Linked DNA regions of Daphnia pulex. The protein of the gene in region 1 interacts with the protein of each later gene in a pairwise test. Links are inferred from orthologs where the notes say so. Each region holds a gene or a part of one and is shown in the gene's direction. Other genes may lie near its edges. The genes, in order: CCR4-NOT transcription complex subunit 1-like and CCR4-NOT transcription complex subunit 11-like.

Evidence for each region.
Region 2: the proteins of CCR4-NOT transcription complex subunit 1-like (region 1) and CCR4-NOT transcription complex subunit 11-like interact in binary tests that used the Homo sapiens proteins (3 or more experiments, as listed by UniProt). The link is inferred for Daphnia pulex from reciprocal best matches to the Homo sapiens genes CNOT1 and CNOT11.

The regions. Positions count from the first base shown.
Region 1 is NC_060019.1:12,270,675-12,286,650, forward strand, and holds the start of CCR4-NOT transcription complex subunit 1-like, read left to right. Parts: upstream 1-6,694; 5' UTR 6,695-6,855; intron 6,856-7,144; 5' UTR 7,145-7,279; coding exon 7,280-7,371; intron 7,372-7,427; coding exon 7,428-7,908; intron 7,909-7,964; coding exon 7,965-8,477; intron 8,478-8,540; coding exon 8,541-9,476; intron 9,477-9,546; coding exon 9,547-9,904; intron 9,905-9,980; coding exon 9,981-10,321; intron 10,322-10,391; coding exon 10,392-11,435; intron 11,436-11,503; coding exon 11,504-12,380; intron 12,381-12,441; coding exon 12,442-12,740; intron 12,741-12,807; coding exon 12,808-13,270; intron 13,271-13,361; coding exon 13,362-13,680; intron 13,681-13,746; coding exon 13,747-14,239; intron 14,240-14,301; coding exon 14,302-14,448; intron 14,449-14,516; coding exon 14,517-15,107; intron 15,108-15,175; coding exon 15,176-15,489; intron 15,490-15,577; coding exon 15,578-15,788; 3' UTR 15,789-15,976. Other genes in the region: bumetanide-sensitive sodium-(potassium)-chloride cotransporter-like, read right to left, coding at 1-92, 176-246; RNA-binding protein 12-like, read right to left, coding at 1,313-2,775, 2,861-4,044, 4,205-4,347.
Region 2 is NC_060019.1:7,966,008-7,981,465, reverse strand, and holds CCR4-NOT transcription complex subunit 11-like, read left to right. Parts: upstream 1-7,491; 5' UTR 7,492-7,559; coding exon 7,560-7,600; intron 7,601-7,671; coding exon 7,672-7,760; intron 7,761-7,824; coding exon 7,825-7,973; intron 7,974-8,036; coding exon 8,037-8,147; intron 8,148-8,205; coding exon 8,206-8,718; intron 8,719-8,781; coding exon 8,782-9,087; intron 9,088-9,160; coding exon 9,161-9,382; 3' UTR 9,383-9,523; downstream 9,524-15,458. Other genes in the region: titin-like, read right to left, coding at 1-1,868, 2,025-2,173, 2,362-2,508, 2,647-2,820, 2,888-3,128, 3,202-3,348, 4,325-4,437, 4,726-5,067 and 1 more. UniProt on the Homo sapiens protein: Component of the CCR4-NOT complex which is one of the major cellular mRNA deadenylases and is linked to various cellular processes including bulk mRNA degradation, miRNA-mediated repression, translational repression during translational initiation and general transcription regulation.

The DNA.
Region 1 (15,976 bases):
AATGGTCTTTCAAGCTCAGGGTCATCCGGAAGCTGTCACGCAAGTGAGCTTTCTCGCCAAGCTTGCTTGGATTAAGTTGCTCAGAGAATCGACTAAATAAGTGATGTACAAAATAGAATCATTCTCTTTTAAAATTTTTCCCGTTAGAAACAATACAGTTACCAAGATAACATACCCAGAAGAGTGATCCTGAAGGCCTCCCTCTTTTCCACCAGATGACAAAGATGATGAGTCCTGTTCATACATTGTGAAGGTGTAAATGAAATGACGAATTCAATCTAAGTATATTGTAGAGTATGTACTCTTCGATTAGTATTAGATATTAAGGACTGTTTACGAATTTTAAGACATTTCCGCCTTATATATGCGTAGTGGTCACATGCCATGCATAAAGCACATAACGCATTGTCACGAGGGCGGTGATAAAGTTGATTATCTTTTTTGACCATAACAGAAATATTCGATAAAAAATAAATAATGAAAAATGTATCCTGTTGGTCTGAAAAGTTTTCAGATCATTATAAATCCAACCATATTGCACAATTTTGAAAACGCCGACAAAATAAATAAAAACACCTTTATTTGTTGGGTAAAACCATTTCGATAATCTACCCCATTTTTTAAATATATCGATGAGTCTGACTTTGTATGTGTCAAAGGTCTACTTTTGTTTTTCTTTAGTAAACAATGCCAATTAGGAAACTTATGTACCAGTATGTTAGACTCTCAGTTAATTACTTTTTTTGTGATGTAGATAGATTTTCGCACTGTTTTAACCGTATATATACAGTTATTATAGGATCCAATTCATCCAAAGCACATTTTTTCTTTGCTTCCCTATTTTCAACCAGATGCTTAAATGAATAAATACTTTAGCGTCAAGGAATTTTGAAATTCGGTTCTTAAGATAAGAAATGACACTGTTCTCACGGTATTCCACAGCAGCGTTAGATGCATATGGAAGAATAAGGATATTTAATTGGGCAAGTACTACCTTCTGTGTAACTTAGGGAAAGTAAAAGAAAAAAAATCCTTGTCTGCTACCGACCCCACTCTTAACTTATGGGTGGAGCAATTTTGGTTAACTTTAATTGATTTTTCACATGAATCACGGTTTGATATTCTTGTTTATCATTTAATACGTTACTACTTTAAGCGCTGTAAGTTGGATCCCTTCTCAATTAAAATTGCAACAGAAACGGCTGGAATCTGAATTGTCAATGTATTATCATGTAATGTGAACAAAGTTATGAACAGTTGAAAATTTTCCTTGACATAATTGTAACTGAAAAGAAAATTGAGACAGAATTGTTCAGATAATAGACAGATTGACCCTACGGTTCATCAAGTACTCATTTTGAAGTGTACGTACAGCTAACTCAGCTTCGTCAGGTGTAAGAAAAGCGACACGAGCATCGCCAGTAGGTTCACCGTTGGGTCCAAATCGCCGAATAACACATTTTTCATTGACTTGAAAGCCACGGAAGAAATCCAATATGTCAGCAATAATGGCTTTGTGAGGTACATTGGAGAGCGCGATGACACAGCCAGGGGCTCCGAAACCAGGAGTTGGGGATCCATCGTCACTTCCGCCTCGACCACCACCTCCATTCTGAATTGGACCTCCGGGCATTCTTATTCGCATATTAATATTAGGACGAGTGCGAGGACCAGGCCCACCGCTGCCAGAAAAATTTCCTCGGTTGCTTCCACCAGGAGGGTAACGAGGACCGCCCCCGAATCGAGGACCACCGAAACGTGGGCCCATTTGCGGATTGTATCCATTTCCTCCGTCAGCGCCCATCGGCGGCCTGTTGTACGGATCACTAGGTCCCGGATGTCCATATCCTCTTGGTCCGTGATCTGACTGGTTCATATTTGTATCAAGATATGGACTGAAACGTCTTATCTTATTCTCTTCGGCGGCAGGATGTCTGCTAACAACAGGAGCGGCATCTGGATTCTCGACTAAAGTTACGCTGACAGTATGGCCTCCCATGAAACCGCCATTCTTATCCAAGGCTCTCTCTGCCTCCTGCATACTGGCAAATTGGCAATAAGCGTTTCCGACGGGCATACGTTCTTCATCGTAGACGATTTCAATGATCTGCGGAATGACGCCAACGTCTGAGAAGAAATCGCCAATATCGCGTTCCAGGGCAGATGGAGGCAAACCCGTAATGAAGACACGTTGTGGACCGACAAAAAGACGACCTCGCTGATTCGGTGGCGCATCGTAAGAACCATTGCCGCCGCTTTGGGAACGATCAACGAAAGGGGGACCTGGTCTGTTGCTTGCAGGAGGACGATGAGGAGCAGATTGACCAGGTGAAAGTGGACTGTCAGTTTGAGTTGGAGGGGTGGTCATCACAGCGCCGACAACGCCACGGAAGCGTTCAAGATTTTTGGAGCAGACATGTAATTCCTCCAAGGGAAGAAAGGCCACCTTGACTTGACGGCCGCAGATCATGACACCGTCTTTCAGGAGTTGGATGGCTTTGCGAGCATCGGCTTCACTCCGGAGTTCAACAAAGCAAAGTCCGGTGACGGTTCCGCTCTCGTTCCGCTCTGGCAGCACCTGACCAATCGAGATCGTACCAAAAGCTTCTTTGACATTTTGTGCTGTCGCAACCGGTGGGAAGTCTCTCAATGAAAGACAAGAATTCGATAAACTCTTGGCATCAAGACTAATTCCAGGTGAGAAAGAATCAATCGCCTGGTTAAATGTCGAATCCTTAACATTGAATATTTGAACAGGATAGCCACGAATCGTACCTAAAACAAAAAAAAAAAAAAAAAAATACACAACAAATTAATTCCATTTTAATTCACGAATAAAATTGACTTAAGTTTTCTTTACCATTGTGGCGGGTAAGCGCTTTTAATTTGTCTTCATTGGAAGTGAATCGAATATACGCCAGACCGAATCGATAGCCATCCAATGCGTTGATCATTTTGATGCATGTGTTTGGGACATTAATTCCACTAAGATAATCTCTAATGTCTCGGTAAGTCAAGTCTCCAGTCAGCAAACGTAACTGAACAGAAGTATCCGGCACATTTTCATTTTGTTGATTGGCTTCCAGTTCCTCGGCCGGAGTAGGAAGAAGTCCTGATTTGCTGAGTTTCCGATCACGGTCACGATCCCGTGAGTTTCTAGCCCTCTCGCGACTATCCGAGCGACTTCGACGGCGGCGATCTCGGCCACGACCGCGACTTCCGCTACGACTGCGACTCCTCCTTCCACGTCTACTCATGTCTGAACCTCTTTCTTTGTCGCGATCTTGTCTGTCTCTTCGACTGCGCTCTTTACTTCTGTAACCAGCACGACCCATATCGCGATTCCTATCCTGGACGTCTGGGGGAGTGTCACGAGAATTGCGGCGATTCTGGTCAAAACGTTGCGGCCCTCCGTGAGCATACACATCTTGCATGTCCCCACCGGTTCCATGCAACATTTGCTGGCCACCGCCATACGGTAATAAGGGAGGCTCCTCAATAACTTCTCTCATACGCGGACCGAAATGCTGTGGAATATGAGGTCCTCCTTGCGGCAAGTGGGGAGCGTAAGTCTGTGAAGGGTTCATGTGAGGCGGGAAACCACCGGCATGAACAGGATTTTGCCCACCACCTGCCAACATGTTTTGACTTGGGTTATATGGTTGATGACTTTGTGGTTGTGGATACATTTGATGATCATAGCCCCCTGGATGGCCCTGACTAGGATCCATGTGCATATGGAAATTGCTGCCACTGGTGCTGGATGTTGCTCGTAGTCCAGGTGGTCCGCTGATAGGGGGATTGCTATGGGCGGCAGGAGCGGCACTAGGAGCAAAGGGGCCTCCTGTAAAAGGGCGCTGAACTGCTGACGTAGGAGCCATGTTGCTTCCTCCGCTAGCAGCGCCTTGCATAGCCAAGTGCTGCTGTCGTGTCTCTTCAATGATCTTTTGCATTTCCGTTCGAGAACTCAAGTACAGCTTGACTCGCGAGTCCTTCAACATACCACCGTCCGATGCCATTCCTTGTCGCGCATCCTCGTCAGTACTAAATTTAAATTGAAAGATAGACATTAATGTTTCGTTTTCAGAAAAAACAACAACACTGGTAACGCATGTGCGATCAATATTTTGAAAGCGTCGTGTTGCTTCACCGTTATACTTTATCAATGTTGGTTATTAAGATATTGGGGTCGTTGAATTGTTACCTGAATGCGATAAACGCGTCGCCTAGTTGCCCCCCGACTATATGCACGCCCCCTTCTGGTATGGATAGACCATGGAAGAATTGTCGAATATCTGCAGCGTTGGCCGACCAAGGCAAGTTCTGTAGTCGAATAATGACACTCATCTTCACTCTTGATTTCTTCTTCTTTTTCTTCGACGGTCACTTCTGAATTTAACGCCGACTCAGTTGCATGCGGCCTATTTCGTAATCAGCTATAACTGGTGCGATGCCTCTGTGTTGCCCTTTATTCGAATGGAGTGGAAGGTAAAATGATCAGTAATCACCCAGTGATAACAACATATCTCAAGATTATAACATCAAAATAAATCAATCCACTTCTTTCGACGAAATCCATTTCCAACAAAAACAAACAATGTTAGTGCGTCACGTGTGTTGTTTGTATCGAGTGCCATGATGGATTATCGCATTGACTTTCTCACCGGGACAAACGTTTCTTAAAAAAACCCTCAAAACCTCAAAATTTTTCAAAATATGGACATGGCTTGATTCAGACGCCTCTTTCCAACCCAGTTAAGCCGTGACGTCAAATGTGTCGCACACCTTCAGACTTACATCAATCGCTAATCAAGTTACATTTTGATTTCGTTTTTTTTTCTTTACTCAGAAGAACCCGCCTCACAAACAGCCTATTTGTTTTCGACGCAACTGCGATTCTTTATTCCTTCCCGGCCAAGCAAACTTTAGAAACTTGCGACGTCTCCAATGGTAGAAAAAAAAAAGAAAATTAAGGCTTTGGCTTTTTTTCAGCCAGGCAAGAAACCTAGCACACACTCTGGATTTTAATGATGCAAAATAGGAAAAAAAAAAAAAAAATCCAACAGTTCATTGGAGGAAAAAGCTGTAGATTACTGAACTTTCTAGAGAATCTCTGGTACTTTGAAAACAGGTCGACCCCATGAGCAAATAAATAAAAGTTAACACTGAAATTATCTTTGCTATATAAAAGAAAACGCTACTGCTTTGTCGAAAGCTCCCACTTCGAAAATGGTTTGTACACTGCAGCTCGCATTTCTTTTCTTTAACCTCAACAAAATCCTCTGAAAATTGAAGGGTAACCCAACATACACAACATACAATATAGGAAAAACTGCATGAGGGGGTTCCAGAGTAGGTTCCTTTGAACAGGTTCAGATTTAAAAAATGAAGCATGATGTCATGTCATGGGATTTTAAGAACTGAGATTCCAGCACCACACATCATGTTTCAAAGAAACTATACAGCTTGTGGAAACTGAGATTGAATGGACAAAGGGCAGCTTCATGCATTGAATAATCAAGAATGAAGATGACGAAGTATTAACACTAACTTTAAAAATGCATTAATTCTAAGTTGGTACTGTGTTCCGTTGACACTTGCACAACATTTCACTTCTTGAATCACATCCTATTTGTCTGTTTATCGCAGACTACAAAAGCATCACCACAGCATTTTTCTCCTTCGATGTTTTGATTCTGCAGAATTCCAACCCATGCCTTTAGAAGAATTTCATGATTAAGTTCTTCTTCGACAATAGCCTCTTTCAAAATACACACATGGCTGCAGTGACATGTTTTGAGCATTGTCAAATGTTCCAATCAGTCTATGTTCCAATGAAGAACACATGTAGCCAATAACACCCCTGTTTGTAGCAACTAATCGAATAAAAAAAAAACCGTTTTCGAACTTAGTATGAGCCTCGTCGCAAAAGAAATGGAAGTGACCTGTTTTGTTTGTGGTAGTAATTTAACCTTACCAAAATTCAGTCTAATTTTCCTGAAATCCTTGCGAATTTAGAGTTTAAAATAACCCTTCTTGAACGCAAAAAATTAGAATTGTTGCTGTTGTAAACAGCCCTGACGATGGTTTTCTTGAAGACAGTAGAGCCCTAGTAGTTAATAAATTTTTTCAGTTGGAACGGCGGGAGATTTTGGAGGGCTGCGATGAAGGAAGCCAAGCTTTAATATGGCGCAGTTTAGTTTTCTTTTTTGTTCACAATAAGTCAGGCTTGGTGTTTGTACTCGTAAACTTTTTGGTGACCACACTGGAAAACCTTTCCGGACGCCATCTATACATTACATTAAAATTTTTAAAAAGCGCTAGCTATTAAAATGAAAAATCACTGTAAATATATTATGGAATGTATTAATGTTTTCATATTTTAAATTTTATTATTGAAATATAAAAATTTCAGAAAATAAGACGTCGGTCGCAAAGAATGAGTGTATAAAGTGTACTACTGCCAGCGCATGAGTTACATTGACATTGAGTCATCCCTTCATTTTGCATAGTAGATATAATTTCTGACGGAAAAATTTATGTAAAATATATTCAAAACAAATAATGAGCCTAACAAATTCTGTATTTTATACTTACTTTATTTTTGTCAACCTTTTTTGAGTTTTTCCGAAAGAAAGCTAAAAATTCTCTTCTCTACCGCTAGAGGCGTTGACGAAATAGGCTGAATTTGTTCGGCTTCATCTTCATTCCAAATTTCTTGTGGCCAGCTGATTTTTTTGTTCAGGTTCAGGTTGATCGTGCAGCCATATTGGTTTGAATTTGTTTGATTATTTCGTTTGAACATTTCAAGCTGAAATTTATAAATCATTTTAAGAAAAAAAGTAAAAATCACTGGTATGTTGTATTTTAATTAAATCCGAATTTCCCCATTTCAATCGGCCAATGTTAACTTGTCCAATCGCAATGACCTCTTGAACAATTTCTTTGTTTAGGCAAGAAGCCAAAGCTTGATCGTGCGGTAAACAATGGCCATTTACCAAATAATAGACAAAGTTTTTAGTTTAAGTTTTTAATGTTATTGTCAATTCCTGTTATTATTTTTATGATACTCTTGATGTCAAAATATTTCAACATGTATCTTTAGTCAATCAATGAGTTTCTTCCAACATTTTTTTCTTTTCAGGTTTCGACAGTTGCTGACCTAAAGTGTTTCGTGAGTGGTTGCTAATGTCAGTGTCGGCCACAGAGGGAAGCTTCAAAGGCCATTTTCCTGGGCTTTGAAGCTTTCACCTGCCAGCCCTCTGTCTTTCATGGAACTATGAGCCTAGACTCACTGTCACTGGCGCTGACACAGATCCAATACCTGGTCAACAGCCTCAACAAAAAGAACTATCTTCAATCTAGAAATAGGTTAGAAAATTCAATTTTATTGAAAAACATCATGTTAATTTTGATATTTATTAAAGCATTGAAGAATTAGTTACCATTTATGGTATTGAAGCTGAAAGACATCTTCTTTGTTGCTGTCTTGCTGGAGTTGACTTTGTGGGGTTAGGAAACGGTGAAAGTTCATCATCTGTCAAGTCAAATAACCCAGGCAAGGAGAAGGAAAGAGAGCAGCTTCTGGCTGATTTTTTTGGACATTGCATCACCCAGCCAGCATTCCCTAGTCTTCTGAATAGTGCCCTTGAACAGCCATTGAGAAGCAACTTTACTAGAAGTGTTCAACAACAATTCAAAAGCAATTCGGCAGTTATCAGCAATTTCTGTCGGTTTTTGCGACTGTCACGAAGCCAAGAGGTGGTTCTTAGGATTGCTCTTTTAGAAACATTCAACCCTGAAGCGCGTTCACAGTCTATACTAATTATTCGCCAGAAACTTAGTGAACTATTGAAAAATTTTGCTGATCAAGATAGGAATACTGCCCCGTTGGAAGGAGGACTACAGGTAAAGCGTAAGCAAGTTTAATGTGTTCGTGTATAATTTCTAATGTATTTGTATAGGAATCGTCTCCTGAAGTCATTCACTACATTCTTAGTCGATTGATCAACGAGCCGGATACATTTGGAATAAGCAAAGACCTTTTAGAGGACGTATTGAGCTGCTTGCGCCGTGACTATCCTCGTGAATTGGTCCCTGTGATTTTAGCCCCAATCCTTTACAAGGAGCAAGGGGTAGACTACACTTGTCATAAGATGGCACACGAAACTAACAGTTTGACCAAGAATATGGTCGAAACATCATTGGCCGATTTGATCCTTGAAACTGGATACCCATTCACATCAAGTCTCGAAGAATGCCGTGCAAATATCACGACCTTCGGTTTTCGCGAATTGTCTCCCACATCGGTAGCTCGTGCAATAATCTACATGGTTCGCACGCACAGCGGATTGGACGAACATTCATTAAGACACTTGAGAAATGGTACATCACAATCATGGCCTGAGCAAGAAAGCTCAGGAGATAAAAGCGACGAAGGCCTTCCTACCTCATGGAACATGGAAATATTTGTCCAGGTAGTGGAAATGTTTGTTACTTCTTTATTTTGTATGTTCTTATCCAAAATTGCTCATTTTCAGGTTGTTACGGAGCTGGTGCCAAGTTTAAACTGGAAAGAAATTGTTTCAGAATTGGACCACCCTAGTTTCCTCATAAGAGATAGAGCAGGATTGCGCCTTCTCCTGACGGCCCTACAATTGGGCCTGCAAACACAGGGCGCAACTTTCCCAGCCGAGTTGCTGTATCAATCATGGAACAACGCTGAAGCTCAGCTATCGCTGCTTTCGCAATTAATGAGGAATACGGATCTCTTTTGCATTGCCGACTATCCACACCACGCCATTAATGTCGAAATTCTGAAATCACCCCCTGAACCTGATAACAAGAAGCTTGCCAGTTGGAAATGCCTGGGATTGCTTGAAACTCTTCTCAACTTATTGGAAAACGGCGGGCTTTACAGCCAGGTGCAAGAATTGCTTAAGGAGCCTGTTCAACACTGTCCCGATGTTTTAGTCCTTGGGCTTCTTCAGCTGACACAACCAATGACTAAACTCAGACAAGAATTGCTCAGCAGTCTTATTCCTGTTTTTTTGGGCAATCATCCAAACTCTGCCATCATTCTACACCATGTCTGGCATGCACAGTCACCTCTGGTCAAACCTCTGGTTATGCACGCTATGGCTGAGTGGTACATGAGAGCTGAACACGATCAAGCGCGGTTATCAAGAATTCTCGATGTAGCCCAGGACCTAAAGGCTCTATCTATGCTACTAAATGTGCAGCGCTTCCCTTTTGTCATCGATCTCTCGTGTCTAGCATCGCGCCGTGAATATCTCAAACTCGACAAATGGCTGACAGACAAAATGCGTGAACATGGGGAAACCTTCGTTGCAGCATGCGTTAACTTTCTACACCAGAGATGTCCTCAAATCTCCGGGAAAGTTAAAGAAGAAGCTGGTCTAAAGCCCACTCAACTTCCCTCGGACACACTAGCAATCATGTTGTCCTGCCTGCAGGTATGTTTCTTTGTTGTAAATCAGATTTTTTAAATTGATCAAACTAAAATTCTATTTGCATCTTCATAAGGTTTGGACTGGAAATGTGTCTCAAGAACTATCTGATACTATAAATACAATGGTTGCGAATTGCAACGTCCTGAATCGTGCCCGAGCGCAACCCCCACCTGGCGTCTTGAAACCTATCCGTCCTGGCAGTGGAGTTGGAGTTGACGTTTCATTTCCACCAGGAACCTTAAGCAGCCAACTATTTCCGCCTCCTGGAGTTGACTCAACTGGTCTTTCGCCCAGCCTTAGTAGCATGGGCTTAGGTCCACCAACTTCATCTGGATTTGCTGTTAATATTGGGTCCAATACACTCGGAGGAAATACTCCAGCCCCCGGATCGCCTGGAAAATTGTTCTCTAGCATGTCTTTGCTAGAAACTGGTAATGAATTACACCATTCGAAATCGACTCATCCAATTCTTATAACTAATATTTATTTACTTGTTTTGCTTTTCAGGAGTCAATCAGCCAACGGTTGTGGGGATGCCAAACAATTCCAACTCGAGTCAGAACCAAAGTACTTTCTCCATTTTTTCTTCATTAACTGGAACTGGAGCAATGCCTGGATCATCCAGTACAAATCCACTGGGCATAGGTATTCCATCTTCTATGGCGAGTGGAAGCGGGAACGGTCAATCAAGTATGGGTACGAGCAATATTGGATCTGGTACGGCTGGTTCTCCTGGATCGATTGTCAATGGCCCTGTTCGAGTAGGAATGAATCCTCACCTAGGCCAAGAACGAAGAACCGGCGATGTATCTAGTGCTTTTGCTGACATGCCACAAGCTGTTTCAAAAGTAAGCTAATATTTTTTTTATTTTTATTTTCCCCACACCTAATGGACGCATTCGTGTTTGTGTAACAAAGGATATCGAAGACGAGACAAATAGTTATTTCCAGCGGATTTACAACCAATCGCCTTCAACGCCTACCTTGACAGTCGATGAAGTTCTTGAACTTTTGAAGAAGTTTCAACATTCGACTAACCGCCGTGAACGGGAGATATTTGACTGCATGTTGAGGAATCTATTCGAAGAGTATCGTTTCTTCCCTCAGTATCCAGATCGCGAGCTGCACATAACGGCTCAGTTGTTTGGTGGAATCATGGAGCATGGTCTCGTCACCTACATGGCTCTGGGAGTGGCACTACGTTACGTACTTGAAGCTGTCCGGAAACCACACGGGACGAAGATGTACTATTTTGGGATCACTGCCTTAGATCGGTTCAGACATAGATTGAAGGAATATCCGCAATATTGTCAACATTTGGCCAGCATTCCGCATTTTCGGGAGTTCCCGCCGCATCTAATCGAGTATATCGATAATGGCTCCCGTGGCGTCGAGCCACCCAATCGTCCTCATGGTCCAGTCTTACCTCAAGTGACGACAGCTGCCAAAACCACTACTCCGACTACGCCAACTACAACGGTTGCTGGTAAAACGACCTCTACTGCTGCACCTATGAGTGGTCGACCGTCAATAGCAAACGCGACCAACATCGACACATTGCTGGTTGCTTCGGAGAAAGACGTCTTAATTGTAGACCCACCAGAGAGCGTCCAAGACAAAGTCAGCTTCATATTTAATAATCTGAGTCAATTAAACCTGACGCAAAAGTGCGAAGAATTGCGTGACATTGTGGGTGAAGAACATTGGTCTTGGGTAGCCCAGTATCTGGTGATGAAAAGAGCTTCAATTGAACCAAATTTTCACACACTCTATTCAAACTTCCTTGACACACTGAAGCTATCCGAGCTCAGTCGACTTGTCATTGGTGAGACGTTCCGCAATATCAAGGTACTCCTTCGTAGTGACAAGGGAATAGCAAATTTCTCAGATCGCACACTGTTGAAAAATCTTGGTCATTGGCTTGGACTTTTGATGCTATCTAAAAACCGGCCGATTCTACAGGTAATTCATTATTTTATTTTTAAATTGTGTACCAATTTTGCTAAACTGCAACTTCATTTAATATTCAGGGAGATATTGATTTAAAATCAATTCTAGTCGAAGCGTATCACAAAGGGCAACAAGAACTTCTGTACGTCGTACCATTCGTGGCGAAAGTCTTAGAGTCATGTGCTAAGAGCAAAGTGTTCAAACCACCCAATCCATGGACCCTAGGAATCATGAATGTTTTGGCAGAACTACATCAGGAGCCTGACTTGAAACTTAATCTTAAATTTGAAGTCGAAGTTCTTTGCAAAACTCTAGCCATTGATATTCACGATCTTAAGCCGGGAGTAGTCTTCAAGGATCACAATCGTCTGTCACGTTTGGAACCGCAGTTGTCCCAGCCGCAATTACAGCAAATGTATCAACCAGCACCACAATTGCAAATCATTCAGCAGCAGCAGCAGCAACTTCAACAGCAGCAGCAGCAACAACAACAACAACAGCAGCAGCAGCAGCAACAACAACAACAACAGCAGCAACAACAACAACAACAGCAGCAGCAGCAGCCACCACCACCGCCACAACTTGCTGGCTCACCTGCACAACAAATGCAATCCCAGCCTGGCACAACTACTCCAACACCAGCCCACGCAATTCAAGGCCCTCCTGATCCGAGGTTTTCTTATTTGGACATCAATGTCACTTCGTTGGCCGGACTAGCTCAGCATCTAGTAGTTAATAATAACATACCGCTGTTGACGGCGCATCCGAATTTAAGGATCCTTATCCGACCAGCTGTTGAACGAGCTGTTCAAGAGTGTATTCATCCAGTTGTTGATTGGTCTATGAAAATAGCCTTGACCACTTGTGAGCAAATCATAAAGAAAGACTTTTCACTCGACGCGGATGACACCCGCATGCGCGCTGCTGCTCATCACATGGTTCGCAGTCTCAGTGCAGGTATGTCTCGTTTAAATTTGTTGATGTATATAGAATTTATATTAAAATTGTGTATATTTAGGCACGGCATTGATTCGCTGCCGAGATCATTTGCTATTGACGATTGCAAACAATCTCAAGACAGCATTTTCTGCTGCCTTGCAGAGGAGCACCAGCCCTCAACAGAAGGAGTTGGTTGAACAAGCAGCCACTTTGACCGCTCAAGATAACGTTGAACCAGCGTGTGCGTTTATCCAAAAGACAGCCGTAGAGAAATCCATTTCGGAAATCGATAAACGCCTTGCCACGGAGTTCGATTTACGCAAGCACGCTCGAAACGAAGGCAGGAGATACTACGACCCCGCTGTTTTCGCCTATCAGGTACACACGTCTCTTATTTTACGTCTGGCAAACTAAACGTTACAAAAATATATCTTTTATTATTCAGGCCGATCGAATGCCGGAACCCATTCGTTTGAAAATGAGTGGCGTTACACCCCAACAAGCTGCCGTATATGAGGAGTTTGCCCGATACATCCCTGGATTCTTACCTGTCACCGAACGAGATGCAGCCATGCTTGTGCCTAAGATGATCCCCACGTTTACCAACGATGAAATTGGGGTCATTTTGGAAAAAGTCGCCATGGAATTGGAGCGTTTCTTGCAATCACTGTTGCCATTGGGCAGCTCAACGCAAGCAGTTGCGATTGGCTCTCTATTGGAAGCTGTCATTTTGGCTCGTTCTTCACGTGAACACGGAGCACATATTACTTTACTTCAAAAAGCTTTCGAAGGACTGGTGGAGAGCTTAACCAGTTTCGCTACGACCGGAAATGATCCGGAAGCCGTCGTCCGTTTCCGCGACGCACATTTGCTGGTTTTGAAAGCCTTGCAAGATCCCCAGGCTTATGGTCAGTAAATCTAAATGATTATTTTTAATGATTATTATTTGATTGATGTTGTTTATGTTATATTTTTTAAACCCATTTTTCCTGTTTTTAGGACCTCAATGGACTAATCGTCAGGTGACGCGATGCTGGGCCGAATGTCGAGAAGAGTTTCGATACAATCTCGATATTCTTGACTGCCTTGTGCGAGCTCATCTCATAAACTTGCAGCAATTTGACATGCAACTAGCTTCTGTGTTAGAGCAAGCCCTTAATGCTGGCATTGGATCTTCTATATTAGCACTTGGCTTTGCTATGCAATTGGTGCATGTCTATCTTCTCGAGGGACCCGCGTCTGGCGCTCCCGTGGTCATCACTGAAAACGACTTGGCGAACACCATTGAAATTTTGACACGTATCGCTGCTCACGCTAGGTATTTTTTAACCGTGTGCATTTTCTATTCGATCGATTGAGATTTTATGTTATTTTTCTGTCATAGGCAACCCCCTGATGGTCTAGCAACTATTTTGGAATTGCTTCGAGCTGGCCATGAAACCGGTTTAATGGATCGTGCCACTGGCGGTCCAGGCGGACCAACGGCTTTAATTCATTCTGGAATTGCTCAGGCACGCGATTATGACGATCCCCATGGATTGCCCGAAAAGACCGAATACCTTCTGCAAGAGTGGGTAGCTATGTATCATCTACCTAACGCTGGACGGGATTCGTCTAAAGCTTTCGGTCACTTCGTCACCCAAATGAGTCTACATGGAGTGTTGAAAACCGATGATTTGATCACACGCTTTTTCCGACTGTGCACTCAATTTTGCGTTGATATCTCCTATCGAGCATTGGCTTCCGAACCGACTGCCGACCTGATCCGCAGTAAAGCGTTTCACACTCTGGATGCTTATGTCCGATTAATTGCTTTACTCATTAAGCATTCTGGTGACGCAAACAACGGCGTTACAAAAGTAAATCTCCTCAACAAAGTACGTAAATGATTTGTCTTTCGACTTTCAACTACTAATGGCCGAATTGTCAAACTGCTTAGGTTTTAGGAATCGTTGCAGGAGTTCTGCTACAAGATCAAGAAGTTCGCGGTGCGGAATTCCAGCAATTGGCTTATCATCGTATCCTCATAATGTTGTTTCTTGAGTTAAATGCGCCCGAACAAGTACTTGATTCCATCAATTTCCAAGTAAATCTTTAAATTATATAATAGTCACTTGAATTATTTGCTAATTTTTTGTTTCTTTGTTGACAAAGGTTTTGACAGCTTTCTGTCATACACTGCACATTCTGAGACCAGCGAAGGCCCCAGGCTTTGCGTATGCCTGGCTAGAAATTGTTTCGCATAGGGTTTTCATCGGGCGATTGCTGTCGATTACTCCCCAACAGAAAGGATGGGGGATGTATGCTCAACTGTTGATCGACTTATTCAAGTTTTTGGCCCCATTTCTACGGAACGCCGAACTGAGCAAGCCCGTCTCAATGTTGTACAAAGGAACACTGCGCGTCCTGCTGGTTTTGTTGCATGACTTTCCCGAATTCCTTTGCGACTATCATTATGGATTCTGTGATGTGATTCCTCCCAATTGCATTCAAATGAGAAATTTGATTTTGTCGGCGTTCCCACGCAATATGCGTCTGCCTGATCCATTCACGCCCAATCTCAAAGTGGACATGTTACCGGAAATCAGTCACGCTCCACGTGTACTGACTCATTTCGCAGCAATGATCCAACCGCCTACGCTCAAAAAGGATTTGGACTCGTACCTGAAAACCCGCGGACCAGTTACGTTTCTTTCGGAGTTACGAAGTGTGGTTCAGGTTCACGTTTCTTCGATTAATCTTCACGTAAGAAATAATTTTTCTGTTAGCAATACTATTCTTTTTACTAACGTCGCTGACAACACTTGATTTAGGTTTCACCTGAACCTGGAATGCACTATAATTTGCCCTTGCTGAACGCATTGGTCTTGTACGTTGGCACCCAGGCCATACAATCGATACAGACCAAAGGATTATCTCCGTCAATGGCGACTATTGGCCACTCTTCTTACATGGATATCTTCCAGAGTTTAGCCGTCAACCTTGACACGGAAGGGCGTTACTTGTTCATCAACGCCATTGCTAATCAATTGCGCTATCCTAATAGCCACACGCACTACTTCAGCTGCGTTCTGCTTTGCCTTTTCGCAGAAGCAAATTCTGAGGCGATTCAAGAACAAATCACTAGGTACGTGACTGGGTCTTGTGTTTCAATATACAACCATTTTGTGATTGACGTGAAATAATTTTTCTCTTTTATCTTGACTCCTAAATAGGGTCCTGCTGGAGAGGCTCATTGTCAATCGACCGCACCCATGGGGATTACTCATTACATTCATTGAATTGATAAAGAACCCTGTTTTCAAATTTTGGAATCACGAATTCGTCCACTGCGCCCCGGAAATCGAAAAACTATTTGAATCGGTGGCTCGATCATGCATGGTGGTCCAAAAACAAACTCCTCGGGATGCAGAAAACCACGATTGATTAATTGAGTTCACCGACTACTTATGTACAGTTTGTGCGTGTGCTCATCTTCTCAACCAATGTTTGTTTGGATTTTTCCTACACCCTTTGGCGGTGCGTGGTGAATTGTGTCAGAACATGTCCATTTAGTTTTTTTGAACGAATGTATTATTCTTTTCTCTTTATTTGAACCCCCAGTTTTCGCTCAT
Region 2 (15,458 bases), about 4.3 Mb from region 1:
AACTCTTCTTCGGGTTGTTGTGTTGCTTCGCTACAAGGCTCGCAAATTTCCTCCTCTTGCATAACCGATTTTTCTGGTGCAGACTCAACTTCAGTTGCTGTCAATTCTTGAACTGTTTCCTCAATTTGCAACTGACTTTCTTCCTCTTGGACTTTAACAGCTTCTGGTGATTCCAAGATGGCTTCTTCTTCAATCTGAGAAACGCTTTCGTCTTCCTTCACTGATTCGCAAATTTCTTCTTCCTTTACTGGTTCGCAAATTTCTTCTTCCTTTACTGGTTCGTAAATTTCTTTTTCTTCCGCAATAGATTTCTCTGGTAAAGACTCGACTTCAGTTGTTACCACTTTTTGAACTGCTTCCTCAACTTGGGGCTGGATTTCTTCCTCTTGCACTTTTACAGCTTCGGATGTTTCTAAGGTGGTTTCTACAGATTCCAGCTCTGTTTTTTCTTCAATAGGTTGGCTTATTTCTTCTTCTTGTATTTCAGTGCAAGGTTCGCAAATTTCTTCTTCTTGCGCAACCAATTGTTCCGATGAAGACTCGACTTTAGATGCAGTCGCTTCCTGAACTTCTTCCTCAACTGGCAACTGGCTTTCTTCTTCCTGCACTTGAACAGCTTCCGGTGATTCCAAGATGGTTTCTTCTGGCCTGCCAAGTTCTTGGACAGGTTCCAACTCAGATGCAAATGATTCTTCTACACAAGGTTCGCTAATTTCTTCGTCTTGGACAACTGAAGACTGAACTTCATTTGCTGTTTCTTCTTGGACTGCTTCCTCAACTGGGGACTGAATTTCTTCTTCTTGTACTTGAACAGTTTCAGATGATTCAAAGATGGTTTCGTCTGTACTGGTTGATTCTTCCTGAATGCATTCACCTTCTCGCGTAGATTGCTCCTCCCCGGCTGTTTCTTCAATCTTGGACACGCTTTCTTCCTCTTTGGCCGGTTCCGAAACAGATTCGACCTGTGATTTTGGTACCTCTTCAACCGTTTCTTCAACTTTGTACCGACACTCCTCTTCGTTTACCGGTTCTTGAACAGCTGGAGTTTCTGTTATTTCCTCCACTGTTTCCCTGCTTTCTTCCTCTTTTGAACTGATCGGCTCATATACAGGTTCCGATTCTTCTAGTTGGCTTGATTCTTCCTCTTGCGTTACTGATTTCTCCGGCGCAGACTCGACTTCGGCTGAAACTTTTTCTTGAACAGTTTCCTCGACTGGCAATTGACATTCTTCCTCTTGCACGGCTTCTTCAACAGATTCAACCTCGGGTTCCAATTTGACATTTTCTTGCAAGCTGCTTTCTCCATCTTGTGATTTAACAAGTTCTTGAACAGGTTCCGATTTCAGTAGCTCTTCGGTACAAGGCTCGCTTATTTCTTCTTCTTGAACGGCAGATTGTTCTTGTACACTTTCAATTTCCGGCGCCGGTTCCGATTCGATTTCAGACTTGGTAACTTCTTCCTCTTGTGTGCAAGGTTTTTCCTGGGCGAATTCAATTTCAGATGTCAGCTTCTCCTCGATCGCTGTTTCCTCAATCGCAACGGGAGATTCTACTTCAGAAGTTGTTGCAGGTAAACTTTCTTCTATCACAGCTTCCTCCTCGAATATCTCGCTTGGCTGCCTCTCGGATGGCAATCTTCGTACAAAAGAACGAAGGAAAGATTCACTTTCAGCTGCCGACGTTTCGGTAAAAACTTCTTCAACCGGATCCTGCTTCTCCTCTGAACTCTGAACGACTGAGATAATGACTGGTAACTCCTTTGGCTCTTCTTCCTGCTGGGCACACTCCGACTTCAACTCCTCAACAGCTTCTTCCGGTTGGCAAGGTTTGCATTCTTGACTGGTTTCATCCGCAAGTTCTTCATTAGTCTATCCCATAACGCATGACAATAAATGTGTTATCGTACGGAAATAGTATAGGTTTAATTCTGCGTATTATATTAGAGTGGAGTCGGCTACCTTTGAAGCCTGAAAGTCATCGTTCCTGAAAATTAGTCAACAATTCGATCAATCTCTTATGCCAACCTTATCAGACGACAGTTGCGGGGTGAGCAAATCGGCTACGGCGGATGTGGAGAGTTTATCGGTGACGTCACCCATCTGCCGGCAGATACGCTCCATCGCCCGTTCAGTCTCTTCCAGCCGACGACGCAGTTGGTCCACCTCTTCTTCTTCTGTTAATCGCCAAAAATAAACGGATTACTATCATTTTCCTAACTCACCCTTTTTGGCAATTGAGGTCCCATGCTTGCAGGACAGCGGTTATTTCTTCTGATAACAGGAAACGTTCAACATTTCACAGCTGATATATGCTGTTGGCTAATTTATGCGGTTAGTTATGTTAAAGTAGCGCTCGTATTACTCTGGGCTTTGAGTGCGGCAAAAGCCAGGCGTAGTGAACGTTCGTCGGCGTCGTTGAGGTCGATGTCGGAACCCGTCTCGTTCTCGTCGGCGGATTCGCTTCCAGCGGGACCGGTGCCATCAAATCCAGGAGGCAGGTACCATTGACCTAAGTTGGTGTGTGAACATGCAGCAAGCTCGATGCGTATTAAAATTCAGGCCTTCATGCGATATGTACTGTACACTAATCTTTCTTTTTGTTGTTGCTGGAATTATTTGATTATTTCTTTTTTTTTTTAAAGCCTACCAATAGGTTTTCCGGCGGTATCCATTTTGGGGCTGCGTGGGATTATGACCTCCTCTACGACTTCTTCCATCTCAGACTCTTCTTCCACTTGAGCAGGCTCTGTCTTACAAATGCTCTCTTCGGAAGCCACCTCCGTTTTTCTACAAACGTCTTCCGGAATCGTCTTTAATTCTTCTACAAATAGGTACGAATTATTGAGAAATATGTCACATCAAGTAGATTAAGACATTTTTAATATTACCATCTTTTCTGGCGAAGAGTTCTGGTGTTTTCGATCGACTCCTTCTCTGCTGTTGAAGCAGTAATTGTCTCTGCTGCTCCTGCAGGATTGCGTATTCTTTGACAGTCATCTCTGAAACGGGGCCAGACACTCCGGAGCAGTACTCCTCGGAAAAGAGGAACTTTCGGTGCTCCCCATCCATGTGGAAGTCTTTGATGCGAGGTTCGCTTTCATCCTCGGTCACTGGCTTCTTGAACATGATCTATCGTCGTGAGGGAAGGAAAAAAAATATGCATTATGGCCTTTGGTTTGATTTTTTAAATTTTGATTCAAACCTTCATCATTGTATAAAGGAAGAAAACGATGATGCCAACTGTGTAAATTGGCATTAAAATGCCCATACCACCAGATCCTGGGGAGGAAGGTGAGACGATATGAGGGGCTCCGCCCATGGGTGGACGCATTCCGGGCATAGGGCCGGGCTGCCGAATTAAATTAAAGGATTATCATGGATGTGGGGGGGAAAAAAAGTATTATTTTTGTAGTATTTTTCTTTTATAAATAGAACTCTTTGCAGACGGGAAAACATATGTATCTCTTCCTTGTTATTAGTGGAGACTTGTGTGCGTCACATTTCATTAACATCTTACTTTAATTTCAAAACAGAAACTGTCTCAGACTATACGACATTCAGCAGCACGGTAATGATCGATAACGTCGACCAAAACAGACTTGCCGTGTCAAACATTCGTCTTGGACCGTTTAGAATGGGTTTTTAGGGCCACCTAGAGAAAAAATTCACGGCCACAGGGGAACGTCGACGTCAGCACAACTGAGAAACCATCAGACGCCGACTAATTTTAGCCCGAAAGCCCCCGCGTCCGCCTTCTCGACGGCCACGAGCGTTCCTCCGACTTTCTCTCTCGCAACTTCCCAATGCATCGGTACGACGGGAAGGACTATTTATTCACTCGTTCTATATATAATAAACAGCTGTCGCGAGGGTCCAAGCGCCGGAACTTCCATTCCGTCCCTACCACCCAAACCACCAATAATTCGTCACTCGCCCATTCATCCCAGCAACTATTTTAATAAGACTAATCTTCGGCGGATTTTCATGTTAAACGACGAGTGAACTGCACAGAGTTTCATCTGGGGACGGAATTAAAGCTTTCGAAGAACAGCAGTCTGGAAACCTTGAAAATGCTCTCCTGTGTTTCTTTTTGGAACTCAGTCAACAGTCGTTGACGAAGGGAACCGTCAAGACGCCCAATTTTGTTGCTAGTGGTGGTGATGTGGAACAGAAAAAAGAAAGAACAGCGGAACAATCTTTTCCGGAGACGACGAGTCATCGCGGTCAACAGCCAGTACACGCGCCCAGCATTGAGACGGGAAAAAAAAAACACAACCCCGACAAAACGACACTTTTGAATTTGTGTGCATGTATATTTACAATACCTTGGCCTCTTTCGCGATGGTACGGGTGGGTGGTATGACGCGTCCTTTTTCGCGGAGTGCCGGATGCATCATGTCCGGATGCAAATGCGGGGGTCGCTCCGGTCGCATATGTCCTGCAACGAAAAACATCAGCCATTCAATTGCATTAGCCTTGATGGATCTTTAAAGCCTATATTACAATTTAGTTTAGTCTGTTAGTCGGATGAACAGTTAAAGGATTGCGAAAATTTGCTTTTGTTAGTAGTGATGAAGAGTCAATTTTTGGTTCGAATAATTATTTGTTTTCCGGTTTAATGTGTAAAGTGAGTGAACGACGATTTGAATGAAGTTTGATTTTGTCATTTGTGGGGTATGTGATGGATAAGGGGGCGGAGTGGGACGGAATCGGGAGCCTGTCTTACGTGGATATAAAACATCAGAAGGTCTGTGGTAGCTCTTCTTAGCCCTGACTAGGTTCTCGTCGATGCCGAAGTTGATTTCCAGACAGCTGGTGAGGTTCTGGGCGCGGACACGGCCGTGGAATTTGCTGCTCAGCCGACGATCGACTACGGCGCCGTCCACGTCCGATTTGACAACATCTTCCAAGTCGATCCCACATTTGTTCATCAGTTCGTGATGGCAGAGGGAGAGCGACCGTTCTGGCGGAATGCCTTCCCGTTTCTTCAACACCTGGCTGCACAACTCGTTCAGGAAGGCCGCCGAGCTGGCATCGCTCTCAAACACCACACCGCAGCATAGAGCACCTGCTCGATGATGATGACACCATCACACAACTGTTTGTTTGTTTGTTTTTGCCACACGATATGTATAGACGGACGGGATCAAACGCTAGACAGGTTGGGTCCAAGCCATCAATATTGATTCTAAAATTAGCTTAATAATATTCTATTTGATCCTGCAAGAATCCTTCCTTTTGTTTCAGTAGTTTGAAAACACTTTGAAAATTCAGAATCCGATCGGTGGTGGCCTATCCGGTGGCTGGCAAGTTTCCTACATTTCTTGAGCACAATCTAATTTGAGGTTTCCCCCTTTCTTTATCCGTCCATACTGCTGTTATCCATGCTCCGAAGACTTTCTCCAAATCGCACAAATATCTAGGTATAGCCGATGACTGGACGTTTGAATATTTGTAAATTATTTCTATCGCATATTGGCAGATGTTTATCAACTGCATGTACAATTGAAAAAAGAGGTCAACATTTGTTATTTTAACATTATGTAAAGCTGCTAGCTTATCCCGTGTCTTGGGCGTTTTTTGGCACCTGGAACATCGGCGCCAAGGATGACCTCGATTGTGCTACTTGTTTTGTAAAGCTATCGATCGGCGCTGCTGCTGCTGAGTGATGACACCGTTCGCAAAGACTCGTCCAGAAACCCTTGCGAGAGCATAGCATGTAATTATCGGGCGTAAGGCTTCATCGGGAAATTTTTGGTTTGGAAAATCTATACGTCGTCAAAATGTCAAGGTTCTGCTAGCATAGAGGACGTCAAAAGATTGAGAAAACAAAAATAAATAAGAGAGAGAGAGAGTCGTGTGCTGGCGGGGTGGAAACTGATGTAACGACTGACGGCTGCTCAGGGCAAAGACAGATGAATGAGGCTAGACCCCTCTCACGAAATTAGACAACATTTGAACATTCCACAAGCCTGGTCGATTATGGTTGAATTTCACGATGTTACTTCCGGACTTTTGATTGCAGTGCATCAATCTTAATTAAACGTGGTGGAAGAGAATAGATATATGTATAATACAAAGGCTAAAAAGATCGATACATACCTGACGGATCACGCTCTTTGATTATAGGAGGTTGCTGCTCTATAGTTGTCGGTGCCACAGGACCCTGGAACATGGGGTAGAAGATTTTTGGCCAAAGGATGGCGAAACAGCCGATCACAATGGCCAAAACCACTAGCGTTTTGCCTTTCGAGAACTCCGGCGCCATTTTTTCTTAGACTCTGTCACTCTCTCTCTTTCTCCCACACGGAAGCTACTGAGAGCGGTTAGTAGAGAGGGGACAGAATAATGATTATACGGCAGGAGCGTTTGTGCTTCGTAGAGATTTCTTCGCCCTTTTTTGTATCCAGCAGTTGTGGCATCGATCAACGCGACTGATCCTCGGAGAGAACTGCGCACGACTATATTCAAGCGGGGGAAGCGGCAGCTCTCAGTTTCCCTCTTGGTACCGGAGGGCGGATCCATCCGCGTCGACGCAGAACACGTTTGCTCAACTCTCTCAAGTATATAAATATCACGTTCCCCTTTCTCTGTACTCTTCCTGCTCCCGTTCTTCGCAATGTTGGTTTCCTTTCAAAGAAATTAAGAATGATAAATAAATTAGTATTCACCAGTAAGCTTGGTTTCAGTATCTCTTGTAATTTACCTGAGTTGGAACACTAGTCAATATTGAATTATCATTGATCTGTTGGTTTTGTTGGTTTGTTTCTTCCTTTCGATGGCTTCAACCAATTTCCATTGTATTGCAACGTCGCTTCGACTCTAGGATAGTGCGACTTTCAAAATAAGAACAAGAAGTAACATATTATTATAAAAATATTAAAAGATTTCCTTACTAAAATTATGCAACTTCTAACTAGTGAAATATCTACGTGCGTGTCATTATTTTAATCTTTTGATTACATTTTAAGCAGAAAAAAGTAGGTTGAAAAACCGATAAAATCATGTAAATATCTGGAGGAGCGGGAGGAGCCAGTCGAATTCTGTACAAGGTGAATTGGACGAGAACTAGAAGCATACTAGAAGACTAGGAAGTCTTTCATTGAACACAGTACAAGATATTCAAGTGATATTATAAACTTATCTCTACATGACCACAAACAGTAACATTGAACATTTTGAACTATTGCTGATAAACGCTTTCTTACCATCCTGTGCATGTGTTTTTTCACTGTAGTCGGAACTCTCAGGCATTTCAGCAGGACCGATTTCCCCGTGTGTGAGATTTTCATTTTTTGGTTTCAGTTGTTTCACGCCTGGTTTTCGTCTGCTTGCTTGCTGTTCTTCTTGCCACAAAATCAAAATAAGTAAACACTAAAAATAAATAATTAAATACATTTAGACGCTAACAGCAAAACGAGCAAATTCATAAATGAATGGAGTCCAATAAAAAAGCGCAAAAATTGTAAATAACGGGCAAATTACCCGCTTTGTGTTATCATTTTGGCTTGGCAACCTTGCATTCATTCAATGAAAATAATTAAATAACAAATAAAGAAAATGTCGGCATTGTCTGTCAAGGATTTGAATCAATTGCTTACGTAATTATACTTTAAGAATAACATATTTATTCGTTTTAATGGTCTAGGTATCTAATGTCTTAATTTTGAAGTATCTTAGATGCCGAGAATGTCGCTAACCAGAGTGTCGAAGCCTTGGCTTCTCAGTTGGGGGTCTTTAATAAACAAGAATACTTTAAAGGTATTATAAAAACCACTCGATTTTAGAAAAAAAATACGTTAACTAACAATTGAAAATCAAATAGTTGGAAATGCATTAGTTATGCTACTTCAGAATGCTGATCTGCTTCCTTCACCATCACAACGTCTGGCTGCAGTGTTATTGCTACATGAGCTTTTCAAACCAGATGCTCAGAATTTCCATCCATTCTCCTCAATTTTTGTGCAACTTCTTGTAAGTAAATATTATGTTGTTGTACATTCACTAGTAAAGTTATATTTTAAAAATCATTTTAAGGCTGATGAACCTCTACAAACCAAGAGACCAGATTCATATAGACTACTACCGAAACTCAGTCCTCCAGAAAAGATTTATTTATCTCATCTCATTACTAATCCTCAAAAAGAAGTATGAAGTGTTTTAAAATGTCATAGATTTTATTTGCTTAATTGAACTGCTATTGCAGATGTACAAAAAAACTCTCCGACAAATATTGAATTTTGACTCTACCAATTCAATGGCTGATATTTCAGCCCTTCAAATAAGTGTGACAGAGCGCCTTTCAGAGTACACTTTAGCAAGCAAAAGCAGAATACCTGCTGTTCTTTCAATGCCTGATGTTCGTCCCGGCTTTGACCCTATACTTCCGGATAGTAGTGCAATCAAGAAGACAGCAGAAGCTCTAATTACTGGTCCCAACGCCGCTATACAAGAATCTGTGGGTCCCGAGTTTGTGAGGTTAGCTCCTCCTCTATTTTGTCCGGACGAACTCGTCTGGATCGATCCAATTGGGGAAGTCGACCACATGATTGCTTACGACACTACAGTTTGCATACCTAGAGGTGCCGGCTCGGAAGCTCGGCGATTAATTTCGCAAGCTTTCACCGGTTCTTTGACTTTGCTACAACAAAACAGATTGCTAAGCGAATTAGAGCGCGATTCTCGTCTAGTCTATCACGTAGGAATCACTCCTAACAAAGTAAGCTATTTTGATTGTTGGTTTTGCATTTTCGCATTTGAATAATGCTTATTTTCGACGCAGCTACCTGCCTTGGTAGAAAACAATCCACTCATCGCAATCGAGGTGCTACTTCGACTGATGCAGTCTTCCCAAATAACGGAATATCTGAGCGTGCTGGTTAATATGGAAATGTCTCTGCATTCGATGGAAGTAGTCAACCGATTAACGACGGCTGTTGAGTTGCCAACTGAATTTGTCCATCTGTACATTTCCAACTGCATATCAACGTGCGAAACTATCAAAGATCGTTACATGCAGAATCGTTTAGTCCGACTTGTGTGCGTCTTCTTGCAGTCCCTCATTCGCAATAAGATTATCAACGTCCAAGTAAAGAACAAATCATGTCGTGTTAAGTTTGTAACGTTTCTTTACAAAATGTCTAATTTTTCATCTTCTTAAGGAGCTGTTTATCGAAGTGCAGGCATTCTGTATAGGTTTCAGTCGAATTCGCGAAGCTGCTGCCTTGTTTCGTCTCCTCAAACAACTCGACAGCGGTGATCAGAGTGGACTCAACAGCACTTCATCCATCGCATCCTTTCCTGGGCTGTCCTCACTCTCGACATCTTCCTTCAATCCTCAGGCATCACCTCTGGCATCAACTGCCAAAGGCAAAGGCGAATGAAAGTCGTTATTATTATTGTTGGATGTTGCATCGTATGTTCGCGTCTCAACTATTGAAACAACAGGCTTATTGATACAGTATATGCTATGGGAATCGAGGGTGAAGAGTTTTGAATATGATATATACAATTCACGAATTGTTTGCTCTTTGATCGTTTGAACCTTTCTAGAAAAAATTAGAGTGTGTACAAATTCGTCGTAAGAAGTTAAGGGTGGGTAAGGTTTTCGGTTTTAATTTTAGTTTTAAGCAGAGAATAATAACGGGAGTTAAATTAGGACACAATAAAAACCAACGAAGTGCAAATCTAGTTCATCATGTCAACTTCAAGATTATCGCTTCTTGTAACATTATTATGCATTTTGCCATTTTCCCCTAACGTGTGGTCGATTGCACAAAATCATGAAAAACAGATAATGAAAGCTACAAAGTACAAAGGGATGTACTACCTGAGCTAATGAGTGAATGTGAGTAGGAGATCGCTGATGAAAATTGAGGTCAATGATGAAATTGTAAGTTTCGAAAGTTATAGGTTGACAAATGAAAATCTAGCTGGCAATCGGTGAAAAAGTTGCCTCTACAAAAAATGTTAAGCAACTCATTTGGAGATCGGATGGATCGATCGTTTATCAAAATTTCAGCATTCACTTGTTTACTGACTCTGATTTACAAAACCAGCTTTACGGACAATTTTCTAAATTAGTTCATCTAGTATATAAAAGCTCCAACTTTTGAAAGAAAAAGTATAGTTCTGGTTGAACAATCCTCACGGAAGAACACAGTTGTATTTCTATTTTAAAAGCAAATCTCAACCAGCTACAGTATCTGCGCTTATTTGCATTCTAATGGAAGTATGGAACTAACTAACCACATCCTACTGTATTACATGATAATCAATAATCTTTTCTTTTAGAAAAATATCAGCAAAATGTTAAGAAGGATGGACAACAATATAATGGCTCAAAAGGTGATTTTGCTATGCGTTTCATCAATTTTATTTGTTTTGATGTCGGTTGATAGTCAATGCAAAGTCCGATTTTCCGAATTGGAACACTGGAGAAGGCGGCGTCAAATGGCTCCCCAACTGCGACTTTCCCGGACATGATATTGGCAACCGACCCAGTGCGGGAGACCGGTGTGGTCGCCTCTGCATTGACAACCCTAACTGTAATCACTTTAGTCACTACAATGGAATCTGTTACATGAAAAATATAGCGGATATATGGACCCCCCGTAAACCAGCCAACGGAGTCGTATGCGGTTTCCTCACTTGTCACAGTTCATACAGCCCGCTTTCAGGACATTATTGCCAGATCAAGGGGTAAAGTTGTTAAGTCGACGGTTTTCGGCGAAAAATAATTTTCTACAGTTCTACTTCTACATTATTTGGCACCCTAAATTTTTATCTTGCAAATTATACGGTACTATGTTTGTTAAAAATATACTCTCTTAACAACACTTGAAAAATTCAAATTATCAAATTTTCTCTATTCTTAATTTCTTACAGACGTCGAATATTTTTACAGGGCTCTTTCGGATCTGTTTTCTTTTGCCGTTTTATTTGGCAACGCAGCATGGCGCCGTTCCTTTTTAGCGCGAGAACGAGGAGAGAGGGAGAATGGGACGAATGGGAGGGAGGAGGGCGTACGAAAAAAAGGGGACCCAGGTTTCCTCTTCTCCCCAGGGACCGACCCCTTTCTTCCCCACTCTATTCATCCCTTCCTTGACTGTCCTTCCTTTCGTACTCATTTCACCCCAACCATGCAATGGCAACAGACGACGAATGTCGAATGGCATTCAGTATTAGATGTTATACCAATGAAAAAGTAATAGTCGAGCAAAAAATCGTGCGCAGTTTACGCCGATGCGCACCACAGCGGCCGATAGCAGAACTAAGATTGTTATTACGCTTGACCACATATGTACTACACACAGTCAAGATCATTTGTTCGACAAGCAGTCGGTTCTCGTCTCGTCTAAAGTGGCGTACATAGGCGGTCAAGCGTAATAACAATCTTAGTTCTGCTATCGGCCGCTGTGGTGCGCATCGGCGTAAACTGCGCACGACTTTTTGGCATGTCTACTACTTTTTCATGGTATAACATCTATACCATCCCATTACCACGACGGTCGCCTGGGAGAGATGTCGTGCGGCAGCGTCCCTTGTGGATTGATTTAAAGGGCCGAAACGAATTTGTGATTTTTATGTCCTTTGCCGATTTACTCGGGTCTTTTTGCTCAGCGGGTCATACGCGCTTTACTTTAGTTGACATAGTCTAAGTCGCTCTGCTTCCTCCTAAAAATATTTAATTGAAATTAGCTCTTACATTTTTCCATCCAAATTTTCATTTTTTTTTGTACTCATCCTGGACTGATAGTACTTTCCTATTTAAAAACGGTGACGTCGCTTCCTCAATTTCATGGGTAATTTCATGGCGATCAGGTCAAAATCAATGCCCTATTCGGGGTTTTCCTCCTCAGTGAGTTTTTTTTTTCAACAAATCTACTTCGTTCGGTGTAAGGTTTCCTCTATAAAAAGTTGGATTGAGGTGGCACTGCCACCGTCGACGAAGGAACTTATAATCGAAGTCAACCTGGTTTGGGAAAACTTCCAGGGCAATCTTCTTGAAATTAATTAAGTCAAAAATATAGACTTATGAATCTTTGAACCACTTTGGAGGATTTCAATTCACTTGAAAATATATCCGTTTGTCGAGACTTTCAAATTGGCTTATCATCAGGGTTTTGTTTTTTGGTTATACCTGCAGCCGTCCTTTTAGTCAAATTCGTAGCTATATATGTGTTCACGTAGACATTGCTTTTTCTCCTATTCTCTCCAATTCTTGCAAGACAGCCTTTTCCAGTTCAGCTTCCGTCTTCGGAAACATTTTTAGCCTCTTTGGATAGTCATTAACAACCCCCATACCAATGTAGTCATACAAGCTACTCATCTCTGACTTGTCTACAGCCGTGCAATTCATTTGTTTCTGTTCAAGGAACGTACTCAGTTCCAATTTCAGATGATTAAACTTATCATTCACCAAAGCAGCTATGCGATTATTCCTCACATCTACAGCTTCCTGCAGGGCACACTAAAAATAATGACAATAATGAAGGTTACAGCTTACAGAGCTGCTTAACAGACAATCACATAGTACTACACTACATAATTCAAATATACACGCAGTAGATTGTCTTTACCACAATTACCTCCTCATCTGTGTCCTGATTATCTGTATCCTCTTCATCGGTATATTCATCATCTGTATGAACTGTATCCTCCTCCTTTTCGCAGTTCTCCTTTTCAAGGATATTCAGAGTACTACCAGAACAACCCGGAAGAACATCTAATCCTTGGAAACCATCAATTTAACTGTTGAGATTTAATTCCAAAGAATTATTCCTCTTTGTTCTAAATCAGAAAAAAATTAGACCATAGATGAGATGAAAGAAATGGAAACAAAATACCAGGCAGCACAAGTCCAACACACTTACAAGAATTCACTTCACTTTAGACATGCCAAAAAGTTGTGCGCAGTTTACGCCGATGTGCACCACAGCGGCCGATAGGTTAACTAAGATTGTTATTACGCTTGACCGCCTATGTACCACATGAGACGAGACGAGAACCGACTGCTTGTCGAACAACGTGAGGAAACAAAGGGGCGACGTTCGTTTGTCGTTGTAAAAACAATGTGTGGTTGAGTCTGAGTGGGTCTGTAGAGTATAAAAAGGAAAGGTGTGGGCTGAAGAGGTTTCTTTTTTTTGGTATTTTAACACCAATTTGGTGGTTTTGAAAAAAAGTTGGTGTGCAAATGGTTTAGGTGTTTTTAGTGAATTTTTGTGTTTAGGTTTTAGTTTTTCTTAAAACGTGGATCCTGCAAAAAAGCCATTATGACAGCACATATTTTTGGTTTGTTCTTAGGACGTCTGATGTTGCCTACCCTCCTCCCCCCTCTACGGCCGTGACGTCGTATTTGAACGGCCCTTTTGTCGAGATTTTCAAGTTGGCTTATCATGGTTTTTTTTTTGTTTACCTGCAACCGTCTTTTTAGTCGAATTCGTATATATTTATGTCTTCTCGTAGACATTGCAGTTTCCCCGCGGCTATTCCCTCCAATTCTTGCAAGACAGCCTTTTCCAGTTCAGTTTCCGTCTTCGGAAACATTTTCAGCCTCTTTGGATATATATATTGTAATCCTCAACCTCAAACGTGCAAGTTTTTCTTTTGATTGCGTCCAATGTTTTTTTACTTGACATGGTCTAGTTTTCTCCAACTCTATTGTATATTTGTTTTATAAACCGAATATTTTATCCCAATCCATCAACCCTTTATTATAAAAAGGGGGCTGTCATTTTTTTTTCACTGCGTTTTATTCAAATGCACCCACCGGGGGGGGGGGGCATTTGCTAAAGGGGGCGATCGTCCATTAGCACAGCAAGTTCTTTCACAATCCTTTTTAATGCTGCTGTAAGCACTTGCGGATTGCTTTAAAGGGCCCAAACGACTTTGTGATTTAATGTCCTATGCCGATTTATTGGGCGGCACTGGCTGCTCAAGAGGTTTGGTTTGCATTACTATGCGCCTAGAAGGGGTTACAAGAGCGGTAGAAGGCATAGCGGCTCTACAGAGATAAGTCTCCATTTGGGACTCAGTTCTCCCAGGAAACCTCAACTTCATCTCATCCCAGACTATACGCGGGACTTTTTGCTCAGTGGATTATTACGTGCTGTACTCAAATTGACGTAGTCTAAGTCGCTCTGCTTACACCGATAAATATTTGTTAGAGATTATAGAAAGTAACTATATATAATGGCATTGTTTTCAAATTCTTACCTTTTTCCATCCACATTTTCAGTTTTTTGTACTTATCCTGGACTGATAGCACTTTCCTATTTGAAACCGGTGATGTCGCTTCCTCAATTTCAGTTTTTGGGCAATTTCATTGTGATCAGGTCAAAATCAATGCCCTATTCGGGGTTTTCCTCCTCAGTGAGTTTTTTCAACAAATCTACTTCGTTCGGTCGGTGTAAGGTTTCCTCTTTCGAAAGTTGGATGGAGGTGGCACTGCCACCGTCGACGAGAAGGAACATATAATCGAAGTCAACCTGGTTTGAACCTTCTTGGCAATCTCCTTTCCCGGAGATTAATTAAGTCAAAATTATGGACTTGTGGATCTTTAAACCACTTTGGGGGATTTAAATTCACTTCCGATGTCCGTTTGTCCAGATTTTCAAGTTGGCTTATCAGGGTTTTGTTCTTTTGTTATATCTGCAAGGCTGCAACCGTCCTTTTAGTCAAATTCGTATAGATGTCTTCTCGTAGACATTGCAGTTTCCCCGCGGCTATTCCCTCCAATTCTTGCAAGACAGCCTTTTCCAGTTCAGTTTCCGTCTTCGGAAACATTTTCAGCCTCTTTGGATATATATATTGTAATCCTCAACCTCAAACGTGCAAGTTTTTGTTTTGATTGCGTCCAATGTTTTTTACTTGACATGGTCTAGTTTTCTCCAACTCTATTGTATATTTGTTTTATGAGCCGAATCTTTTATCCCAATCCAGCAGCCCTTTATTATAAAAAGGGGGCTGTCATTTTTTTCACTGCGTTTTATTCAAATGCACCCACCGGGGGGGGGGGCATTTGCTAAAGGAGGCGATCGTCCATACGCCAAAATCCTACAGTTCTGCAATCTAAAATTATTCACCAATTAAATAAGGTAAAGAGAAATAGAAAACAAAGTCACCAATGACGAAAACAATGATGATGGTGACATAACTCCAATATACGTTCCAGAACGAGTTTGTACTTTGTAGAGGAAGTGACTAAGGCACACAGGCACCTGTACACCCCCTTTTTTTGTGAACACAAAAATTAATTTAGTATTTCGTTGAATTTGTTTATTGAATACCTCACATTTTAAAATAATGTTTTTTTTATATTTTTTTCACAGATGCTGAAGAAGCTATTGGATAAATACAATGAAACGAGAAATGAAATATAAATCATTTAAAAACAAATCAAAAACATTGTCTGTTTCATTGCCGGCGAGAAATTATCTGAAATGTTTGGATTTCATT